Linked DNA regions of Saccharomyces cerevisiae S288C. The main gene of each other region encodes a partner of the protein of the gene in region 3 in a complex. Each region holds a gene or a part of one and is shown on either strand. Other genes may lie near its edges.

Region 1 (3,250 bases), on a different chromosome or scaffold from region 3:
TGATGGCCTTTTTTTTTGTCTTATTTTTCTATATCTTGAAAACGAGAGATACTAGAGAAATAATACGTAAGAAAATCAGTTCTTTATTTAGCGAAGCTGAAACACAGTATAAGAGAGTAGAGCTTATTTCAAATCCAAAAAATGGCGTATAATCAAGAAGATAGTAAAAGACTATCAGACAAGTATAAGAAGGAGGGACATTTTGACAAGTTGAAAAGAGAAATATTGTCTAACCCATGGAATAATACAGAAGAGAATAGTGAATCTTTTGAACAAGCGCTTCGGAAAAGAGTTGCCAGTACTGTTAAAGAAATGGTTAACGAAGATGAAGAATTAATATTTAAAAACAGAGGGCTAACCAGTGCATTGATTGAATCACAATTGGTCAAGGACAACTACCTAAAGCTGGGTAGTAAAATGGAGGGGGATAATGGTGATGGTGAGAAGAAATTTGACTTGGATGTCTATGTACGGTCTAAGTTACAGGATCCCAAACTATTGGAAATGATAAAGGGACAACTTCAGGAAACACTGAACTCTTATGAAGAGGAAGCAAATGGAAGTACGTAATAACTCTTACTAATTCTGTATATAATATAGCATATCATCACAACGACGACTTTTGAACTTCCTGCCTGCACGATCCACACTTCTGTACTTGAACCTATCGCCTAGTATACTATATCTCAATGCCGAATCGTCGTCATCTGATATTGGGATTTCAAATTGAAATACTGTGCCCTTTTTTGGAATGCATTTTATTTCGTCTATTATATTGCCCTTGACAATCATGATAAAAAATTTCTGAGAGTCCCAGATCACAATGCCTTGAAGGCCTATTAAAGTCTTATTTTTGCTCTTTGTAACGCGTAACAGCGCACCATTATAGTCTGCCATAGATAGTTTTAATAATGCTAATGATCCATTGAATGTTTTTAAGTTTTTTGTAATGTTCAAAAGTTCTTTAATATAGTTAATCCATAGTTCCTTATACATCGGTACAAAATCAACGTACTGCGGTAATGATTCGTATATCGTTGGATGCTTCTCCTCTATGTAGTGTAAAAGGTCTTCCTTATCAGTAATTTTATTTTCGTATGCCAATTTCAGACATTTTTTTGTATTTTTTTTACAATTATTGATGTACTCTCTTAATGCGATTTTAGAGTTCTTGTTGATTCTTTGGTAATCTCTTTTTTCCAACTGTTTGTCTGCACTCTCTAACTGGGAGACCTTTTGTAAATTGTCAAGATTTAGCTTTGATTTTCTTTGCTGTCTCTGAAGCCTTGAAGTCAATCCGCCATCAGTTGGCAGTAGCAACAACGTATCTTGAAATCTATTTTCATTAAAGGGCTTTTCAGGGTCCTCCAGGCATTTCGTGAAAAGACAGTCTTTAATAAACGTTTGAGTTCTATCCATTCTGACAAATAGGGGAGTCCAAATCGTGCTTATTTTCTTTAGTCTTTACAGATTATTGCTCTCCGCTTATTCATGTCATCGAGTATATTTGCCATACTATTTTGAGTACCATTTTTTTTCTCAAATCAACGGACCGGGTAAAAAGCGGATGAATTGGGATATAAAGGCAGTAAAAAGACCACCACAGCTGCAACCACGGAGAATAAACTTCTTTAACTACCCCACAAAGCTGCCAGTAATGCTCAGTTTTCCATCCTTTGCATGAGCTTTCTGTAGAAATTTAACATTGTGCAATTTTTCTTGTATCCAAAAATTTTACATCGATTCAAAAAAAATGAATATTGGCTAGTAAAACTATTCATACTGCTATAAATACACCTGTTATGACATAAAAGCTCAAAAACAATCTGCATGTTTTTTCCTCTTTTTTCATTTATGGCTAGCAATCTCTTTTATTGATTTTTGTCGCGTAGGTATTAATGTTAACCCAGGATTCATTAATGTTGCCTCTGTGGGAACGATTACCCCCGGTAGTTATTTTGTGTTCAAGCTCGCTGTAAAAAGATCACTGTCTTCGATATTGGTTTATATAAAACTAAAGTAGCCGCCCAAGTACTCTCCGGGTACCAATTCCGTCCTTTTCTTTTTTTTCGGTAATTTCCATGGAGGAAGGTTATTGAACTATCTATTAGTCATATTCCAGATCCATCCAAATGATATAAAAAGACGGTACTTCCTAACGTACATGTCAAACCAATTGGTGAGATCGTAACCATAGCACAATGTTTACTGGTATTGTAGAATGCATGGGGACTGTTTTGGAAAACAACCCATATGATGACTCTGAAAGTGGAGGTCAAGGAGTTTCTATTACTATTGGCAATGCGGGGAGTATTCTCACCGATTGTCACGTTGGAGATTCAATAGCCGTAAATGGGGTATGCCTTACTGTGACCGAGTTTAATAACGACTCCTTCAAAGTTGGGATATCACCAGAAACTATAAAACGAAGTAATGTCGCTTCCTGGATTCAAGGCACCCAGGTCAACTTGGAGAGAGCGGTATCTCAAGACGTTAGGTTCGGTGGTCATTATGTACAGGGTCACGTAGACACTGTTGCTAATATTGTCTCAAGAAGACCTGAGGGGAATTCAATTATTTTTGGGTTTCAGTTAAGAGATCAAGAGTACTTTAAATACATAGTAGAAAAGGGATTCATTTGTATAGATGGAACTTCCTTGACCATAATCAAGGTTGACCCACTTTCGCAAGGTGGAGCCTTCTATATTAGTATGATAAAGCACACCCAAGACAATGTTATCATGCCTTTGAAGAAAATTGGCGACGAGGTTAATATTGAAGTAGATTTGACTGGGAAGATTATTGAGAAGCAAATTCTATTAACGTTGGAAAACCAAATATCAAAGAAAGATAGTACTTTGAATACTATGATCTCAAACATTATCGAGGAGAAGGTTAGAAACTACCTAAATAAATAAATAAAAAATTCGTCATAAATAGGTTTCATAAACGCATTTTTGAAGTGATCTCTCCATCTGCTGCAAAAATAGTCTTGTAAATGTGTGATAATGATGAGATTAGAACTTGGTACTGTAGCTAAGGTACTTAGGCAACTTCTCTTCATTATGTATTACCATGTTCTGTTGGTTCACGTGACATGCAAAGGTATAACTTTTTCCGTACAAATTATTCTCTCCACCTTTTTTGTGTTGTTGTGAAAGAACTTTCCAATTATTGCCACTGTAACCAACCGTCCCTAAATACCAACGACACAAAAACTGCTGCTACTATGGGTGGTAACGTTCTCCCC
Region 2 (2,949 bases), on a different chromosome or scaffold from region 3:
AACAAAATTATTAAAAAACACGCATTAACACAGACACGAATTTGGCATACTTTCATTTTACTTTATATCTAGTGAAAAGTAGAAATTGTTTAAGGGAACTACTTCACAGTGACCACTGATACTAGAATATGGAAATAAGAAAAGTTGCTAAGTAGGAGCCTAACAATCTTTTTTTATATTTTTCCATATTCCTTTATTGTCATGGGTCAAGACTGTATATGTTAGTGAAAGTTTTAGGGTTCTTGTGACAAACTTCACCAACATAAACATGGCCTCTTCGAAGATCCGTAGATTTTGCATTTTTGCGGTGGTTTATGGATTCAAAGCGAGGCCTAAATTAACGATCATGTCTTTGCTATTATATCAGAGGGCATATCATTGAATTTCCGATTTCCAAAGGGAAGAAAATAAATAAAGTTGTGCTATTTCCATGCATCCTTTTTTCTTTCATTCAATGACACATACTTCTTGTAGTAGGAACAATTGGTAGTTCTGATATCGATTAAGCCTTCTAAAAATGCTTTATATTATAAAGTACAAATGCAAGAAGTAGCTATGGATGCTAAAGAGCTGGTCGATTTATTGTTTGGTGAATGAATGTAGGTTTAAATCAATGATCTCTGAATCAGAAACAAGGGTGACCAAAATTGGAACCTTGAGCCTTTCTTCCTGTAGTTCATTTCTGCCTTCTCTTTTTATATCGAACGATGTTAATTTATTCCACTGATAAATTTTCTTATTGTTCTTAATATAACCCTTTTTAAATATTTCCAAAATACTTAACATTTTTTGAATATGTGGACCGTAAGAGAATATACAAACTACTTGTTGTAGACCCAAACTTCTATCTGCCATGTTGATTTGTTTATCTAACTTATTTACAGACTTCTTAATGTTATCGTTCTTCGATATGCCATGATACTGTATTGATGTACTGTTGTTACCATTATTTGCTAAGGACGGTATAACTGTTTCTTTGAGAAACCGAAGACATTGAGTGGAGGAAGAGATATCCAAATCTCTACTAATTTCATTGTAATATACGCCATTGATCATTTTGATTTGCTTTTATCTTTTTTTCTTCTTCTTCTTTTCAATCTCTTCCAAACAATCTTGGCCTCATCTTCATGGAATTTTTCGAAATACTCATCAGCAAGTGTCCGATGCCTTCTCAATTTTTTCCAAGAGCGTGCGGGGGTTGGTTATCCAGTACATGTGTTGCTTGAAACTGCCAACAAAAAAGAAAAGAAAATAAGAATATATTAGTACGCCAATAGTAAACGTCACCCCGAGGTTTAAAAACTAACCGTGATATACGAGGAGAATTGGTAACGGTACAATGATGATACTGGGTAAAGCCGGGATCCTGGCACAGTATGGGACAATATATGTGAGACAAAATACCATTCGGAATAATTTAAGTTCCTGCATTTTTAAGCAGTCACTATGTGCCTTTCATTCATTAGCAAAGGTGCTGCAACAAAAGCAAGTCCCACTGGACCTTTCATATGACATAATCAAGAGAGATGCAGTAAAAACTGGGGATGAAGGGAAGCCAAGACCACCTATTATCATACTTCACGGCTTATTCGGTAACAAGCTCAACAACCGAAGCATTGGCCGTAACCTTAACAAGAAATTGGGAAGAGACGTGTATCTGCTGGACCTAAGAAATCATGGATCCTCACCACACAGTTCAGTCCATAACTACGAAGTCATGTCGGAAGACGTGAAACACTTTATCACAAAGCACGAATTAAACACCAATGGAGGCCCTATTATAATAGGACACTCAATGGGTGGTAAAGTTGCCATGATGCTGGTCCTGAAAAACCCGCAACTTTGTTCGATGTTAGTCTGTATAGAGAACGCTCCGGTGAGTTTGCGCCCTAACGCTGAGTTTGTCGAATACATCAAAGCGCTGATGGAAATCGTCAACGACAAGGGCAAAACTATCCGCACGCTGAAACAGGCTGATGAACACCTTGCAGAGAGGATCGGCGGCAATGAGCTAGTAAGGCGGTTTCTCCTAACGGCGCTGAAAAAGGTCAAGATGGACAATTCATCGTCTGTGTCGTCATATACATTCGAAGAACGAATTCCCCTCGCAACACTGAAAGATGCCATTGTCAAAGGTGAAATTGCCGCGTGGCCCCTAGATCCTGCTCGTGAACGATGGACGCGGCCTGCGCTATTCATCAGGGCTACTCAATCGCATTATGTGGTAGACGAGTATCTTCCGATCATCGGCGCGTTCTTTCCACGCTTTGAAACACGTGACATCGATGCGGGTCACTGGGTAAATGCGGAGAAGCCTGGGGAATGTGCCGAAAGCATCGTCGATTTTGTGGAGCGGCACGAGGATTAAAGGCAAGCGCCCCGGAGCAAGGTGCCAGTAGCACCAGTCGGTGGCTGTGCGCTTGCCGTAGCACATGACATACGGACTATTGTGTGAGTGGTGATGGGGTGTAGGCAGTGCCACACCAGTTTAAAGGCCTAGTAACGGCAAATCGCCAAAAGAGATGATGCTGATGCATACGATAAGATCGTCAGTTTCACGTTCGCGGTTCGAACATGGAATTGTGGCTAAAGAAATTTGGGCGGTATGATGCAAATGAGGTGTACGTATGTATATATAGCAAAGAGTAGAATAAAATGAGATAAAGCCTCGTTCGTTCTCTCCATTTCTTCCCTGTTTCTCCTTTATTTTCTCTACTGCTTATTTCGAGTTCACCAGAGAACAAGAGAGCAGGAACGCAAAGAGTGTGTGACACGAAATTCAAGATACAAAAATAAAAGCTTACGTTGTGTATTTCAACTGGTGTGCTAAGAATAGAGTTTCATAAAGTACTGCATTTATTCATATATTATTTTTGTTATTTGTATATATACTTCACACTTAGAGTTCTACTAAAAGTCTACCCAGCACGCATCCTTCGTTTATTTTTA
Region 3 (2,913 bases):
GGAATTGAAGCGGCTTGCTATGGAACAGGAAATGCTTGCTAAAGAATCTAAATTGAAAGAATTGAGCCAACGAGCCAGATACCACAACGGGACTCCGCAGACGGGAGCAATAGTTAAGCCCAAAAAGCAAACGAGCACAGTGGCCAGACTAAAAGAGCTGGCGTACTCTCAAGGAAGAGACGTATCCGAAAAGATAATTCTGGGCGCAGCAAAGCGTTCAGAACAACCGGATCTGCAGTACGATTCAAGATTTTTCACAAGAGGGGCAAATGCCTCCGCCAAAAGGCATGAAGACCAGGTTTATGACAACCCACTGTTCGTCCAACAAGATATTGAAAGCATATACAAGACCAACTACGAAAAGCTGGACGAAGCGGTCAATGTTAAGAGTGAAGGTGCCAGTGGTTCTCACGGCCCCATTCAGTTTACTAAAGCTGAATCCGATGATAAATCGGATAACTATGGCGCCTAGGCCCAGGATGAGCACTAGGAAAACAAAGCATTCTTGTGCTTGAGTTGTATTATAGATAAAAAAATAAAACTACTGCATATACGTGTACATCTATATATTAATATATTCTAATCGTCCTCGTTTTCGTTTTCGTTTTCCCTTCCAATTTTCTTGAAATCATTGATAATAAAGTCATTATCGCTGAGGTGTGATGATTGACTACACTTGATTATGTTCAGAATTTTAGAATTCCTTCTCATAGCAAACTGCTCTATTTTCTTGATGGTCCCACTTACCTTGACGGGGTTCACGATCAGTCCATCGACGTCGCCAATTTTCGACATCAACATCAATGCCATGATAACAAGGTCGCAATCCTCTCGATGGCATCGGATTATCCCCGTAGACGTCTTATTTGAAAAGTATTTCAACTGCAAGAGAGAGTTACATTTTGCAGACCCATAGTCGCCCAGATTCAACGACAGCGAGCGTCGTATCTCTTGGAGTATCGACTTTATGGACACATCCGCAGGCGATGCTCTGTGATGCGAAAGCAAGATGTCTGCTTTCGACACAGATTCCTCAACGTTGGTGTCTGTAGGTGGGAATATAATTTCAAAAAGGATATATCTACTTTTTAAACGTACCATTTATCGACTTGTTTCTTTGTTGCACTAACTATTGCTATCACATTAATCTGATAGTGAAAAGTAAAATATTTTTCAAGAGCGCTAAGCAAGAACAAAACAAAACAAAGTCAGGAGGCAATTAAAGACAACAAGATAGAAAAACCAGAGTGGTTGCTGTGGTAGTACGTTGGGGGCTCGTTTGTCGAGGTTTTTAAGCAGGTTTGAATGGAAGAAGAAAAAAACGAGCACTTACTGGAGTTACTTGGTAAGAAAAGAGTAAGAGGGTTTGGTGGGTGATATATATTTTCATGCCACCAACTGCGAAAAGACAAGGCATGCATCCATGGCTGGTGAAGTGTTTGTTTAGGATATGAACTTCAACCCAATTCAGTTCCCTCACAAACATCGTCTTTCTTCCTTCACCCACAGGTGCAGGCGCCGCCATGGGTGAGCCTGAGACAGGGTCAACACATTAGATCGATTCAAAGTTACGACAGTCATACAGATAATGAAACGACATATTTGAACTGGTAAACGAGCTTGCCATTGGCTCTGAGTATGCCCAATGCTTCTTTAGTGAATAATGTTCACTAAAACTGTTGGTACATCCGTGCACCTCCGCTAGATGAGGTGCAGGGGTCTATCAAGAACCCCCTTCTTCCTAAGAGAACCGCTTATAAAAGTAGCCACATGGTTCATAACATCCCCGTTATGGCTCATACACTGGGCATCGATAAACAGGATATTCGCGCATCGTAACATTTATAGGGGAAACATGGGATTATATTCTCCTGAATCTGAAAAGTCTCAATTAAATATGAATTACATTGGTAAGGATGATTCGCAGTCCATTTTCAGACGTCTGAATCAGAATTTGAAAGCAAGTAACAACAATAACGATAGTAATAAAAACGGTTTAAACATGAGTGATTATAGCAATAATTCACCCTATGGGCGCTCGTACGACGTAAGAATTAACCAGAACTCACAAAATAATGGCAATGGATGCTTTTCTGGCAGCATTGACTCCTTGGTTGATGAACATATAATACCATCGCCACCTTTGTCGCCCAAGCTGGAGTCGAAAATTAGCCACAATGGCTCACCCCGCATGGCCTCTTCAGTGCTAGTGGGATCTACGCCTAAAGGCGCTGTAGAGAATGTGCTGTTCGTGAAGCCTGTATGGCCCAATGGGTTATCAAGAAAAAGGTACCGCTACGCCACCTACGGGTTTCTGTCTCAATACAAAATTTTCAGCAATTTGGCCCAACCATATTCTAAGAACATTATCAACCGGTACAACAATCTGGCCTATAATGCTAGACATAAATATTCCAAATACAATGATGATATGACTCCTCCTCCTCTGCCTTCCTCTTCTTCTAGATTACCTTCCCCGTTAGCATCTCCGAATTTGAATAGACAAGCAAGATATAATATGAGGAAACAGGCTCTCTACAATAACAATCTAGGAAAGTTTGAATCCGACACTGAATGGATACCACGGAAACGCAAGGTATACTCACCACAAAGAAGAACGATGACTACCAGTCCACATCGCGCCAAGAAGTTCTCACCCTCTGCATCCACTCCTCACACTAACATTGCATCCATTGAGGCGATTCATGATGCTCCTCAATATATACCAAACGTCTCATGGAAAAAATTACCAGATTACTCTCCGCCCTTATCTACGCTTCCTACAGACAGTAACAAGTCACTCAAGATCGAGTGGAAGGGGTCTCCAATGGACCTGTCCACAGACCCGCTGAGGAACGAGCTACACCCTGCTGAACTAGTTCTCGCTCAAACTCTAAGGTTACCTTGTGATTT

Evidence for each region.
Region 1: POP5 (region 3) and POP4 share a complex: the UniProt entries of both Saccharomyces cerevisiae proteins name them as parts of the nuclear RNase P and RNase MRP complex.
Region 2: POP5 (region 3) and POP6 share a complex: the UniProt entries of both Saccharomyces cerevisiae proteins name them as parts of the nuclear RNase P and RNase MRP complex.

Annotation. Positions count from the first base shown.
Region 1 is NC_001134.8:727,054-730,303, reverse strand, and holds POP4 (RNase P/RNase MRP complex subunit), read right to left. Parts: upstream 1,420-3,250; coding exon 580-1,419; downstream 1-579. Other genes in the region: SHG1 (Shg1p), read left to right, coding at 142-570; RIB5 (riboflavin synthase), read left to right, coding at 2,202-2,918; RCF3 (Rcf3p), read left to right, coding at 3,230-3,250. UniProt on the Saccharomyces cerevisiae protein: Required for 5.8S rRNA and tRNA processing; associated with RNase MRP and RNase P.
Region 2 is NC_001139.9:545,102-548,050, forward strand, and holds POP6 (ribonuclease P/MRP protein subunit POP6), read right to left. Parts: upstream 1,057-2,949; coding exon 580-1,056; downstream 1-579. Other genes in the region: IMO32 (Imo32p), read left to right, coding at 1,340-2,368; NAG1 (Nag1p), read right to left, coding at 1,708-2,199. UniProt on the Saccharomyces cerevisiae protein: Component of ribonuclease P, a protein complex that generates mature tRNA molecules by cleaving their 5'-ends. Also a component of RNase MRP, which cleaves pre-rRNA sequences.
Region 3 is NC_001133.9:80,894-83,806, reverse strand, and holds POP5 (RNA-binding protein POP5), read right to left. Parts: upstream 1,102-2,913; coding exon 580-1,101; downstream 1-579. Other genes in the region: mRNA splicing protein PRP45, read left to right, coding at 1-472; FUN19 (Fun19p), read left to right, coding at 1,856-2,913. UniProt on the Saccharomyces cerevisiae protein: Component of ribonuclease P, a protein complex that generates mature tRNA molecules by cleaving their 5'-ends. Also a component of RNase MRP, which cleaves pre-rRNA sequences.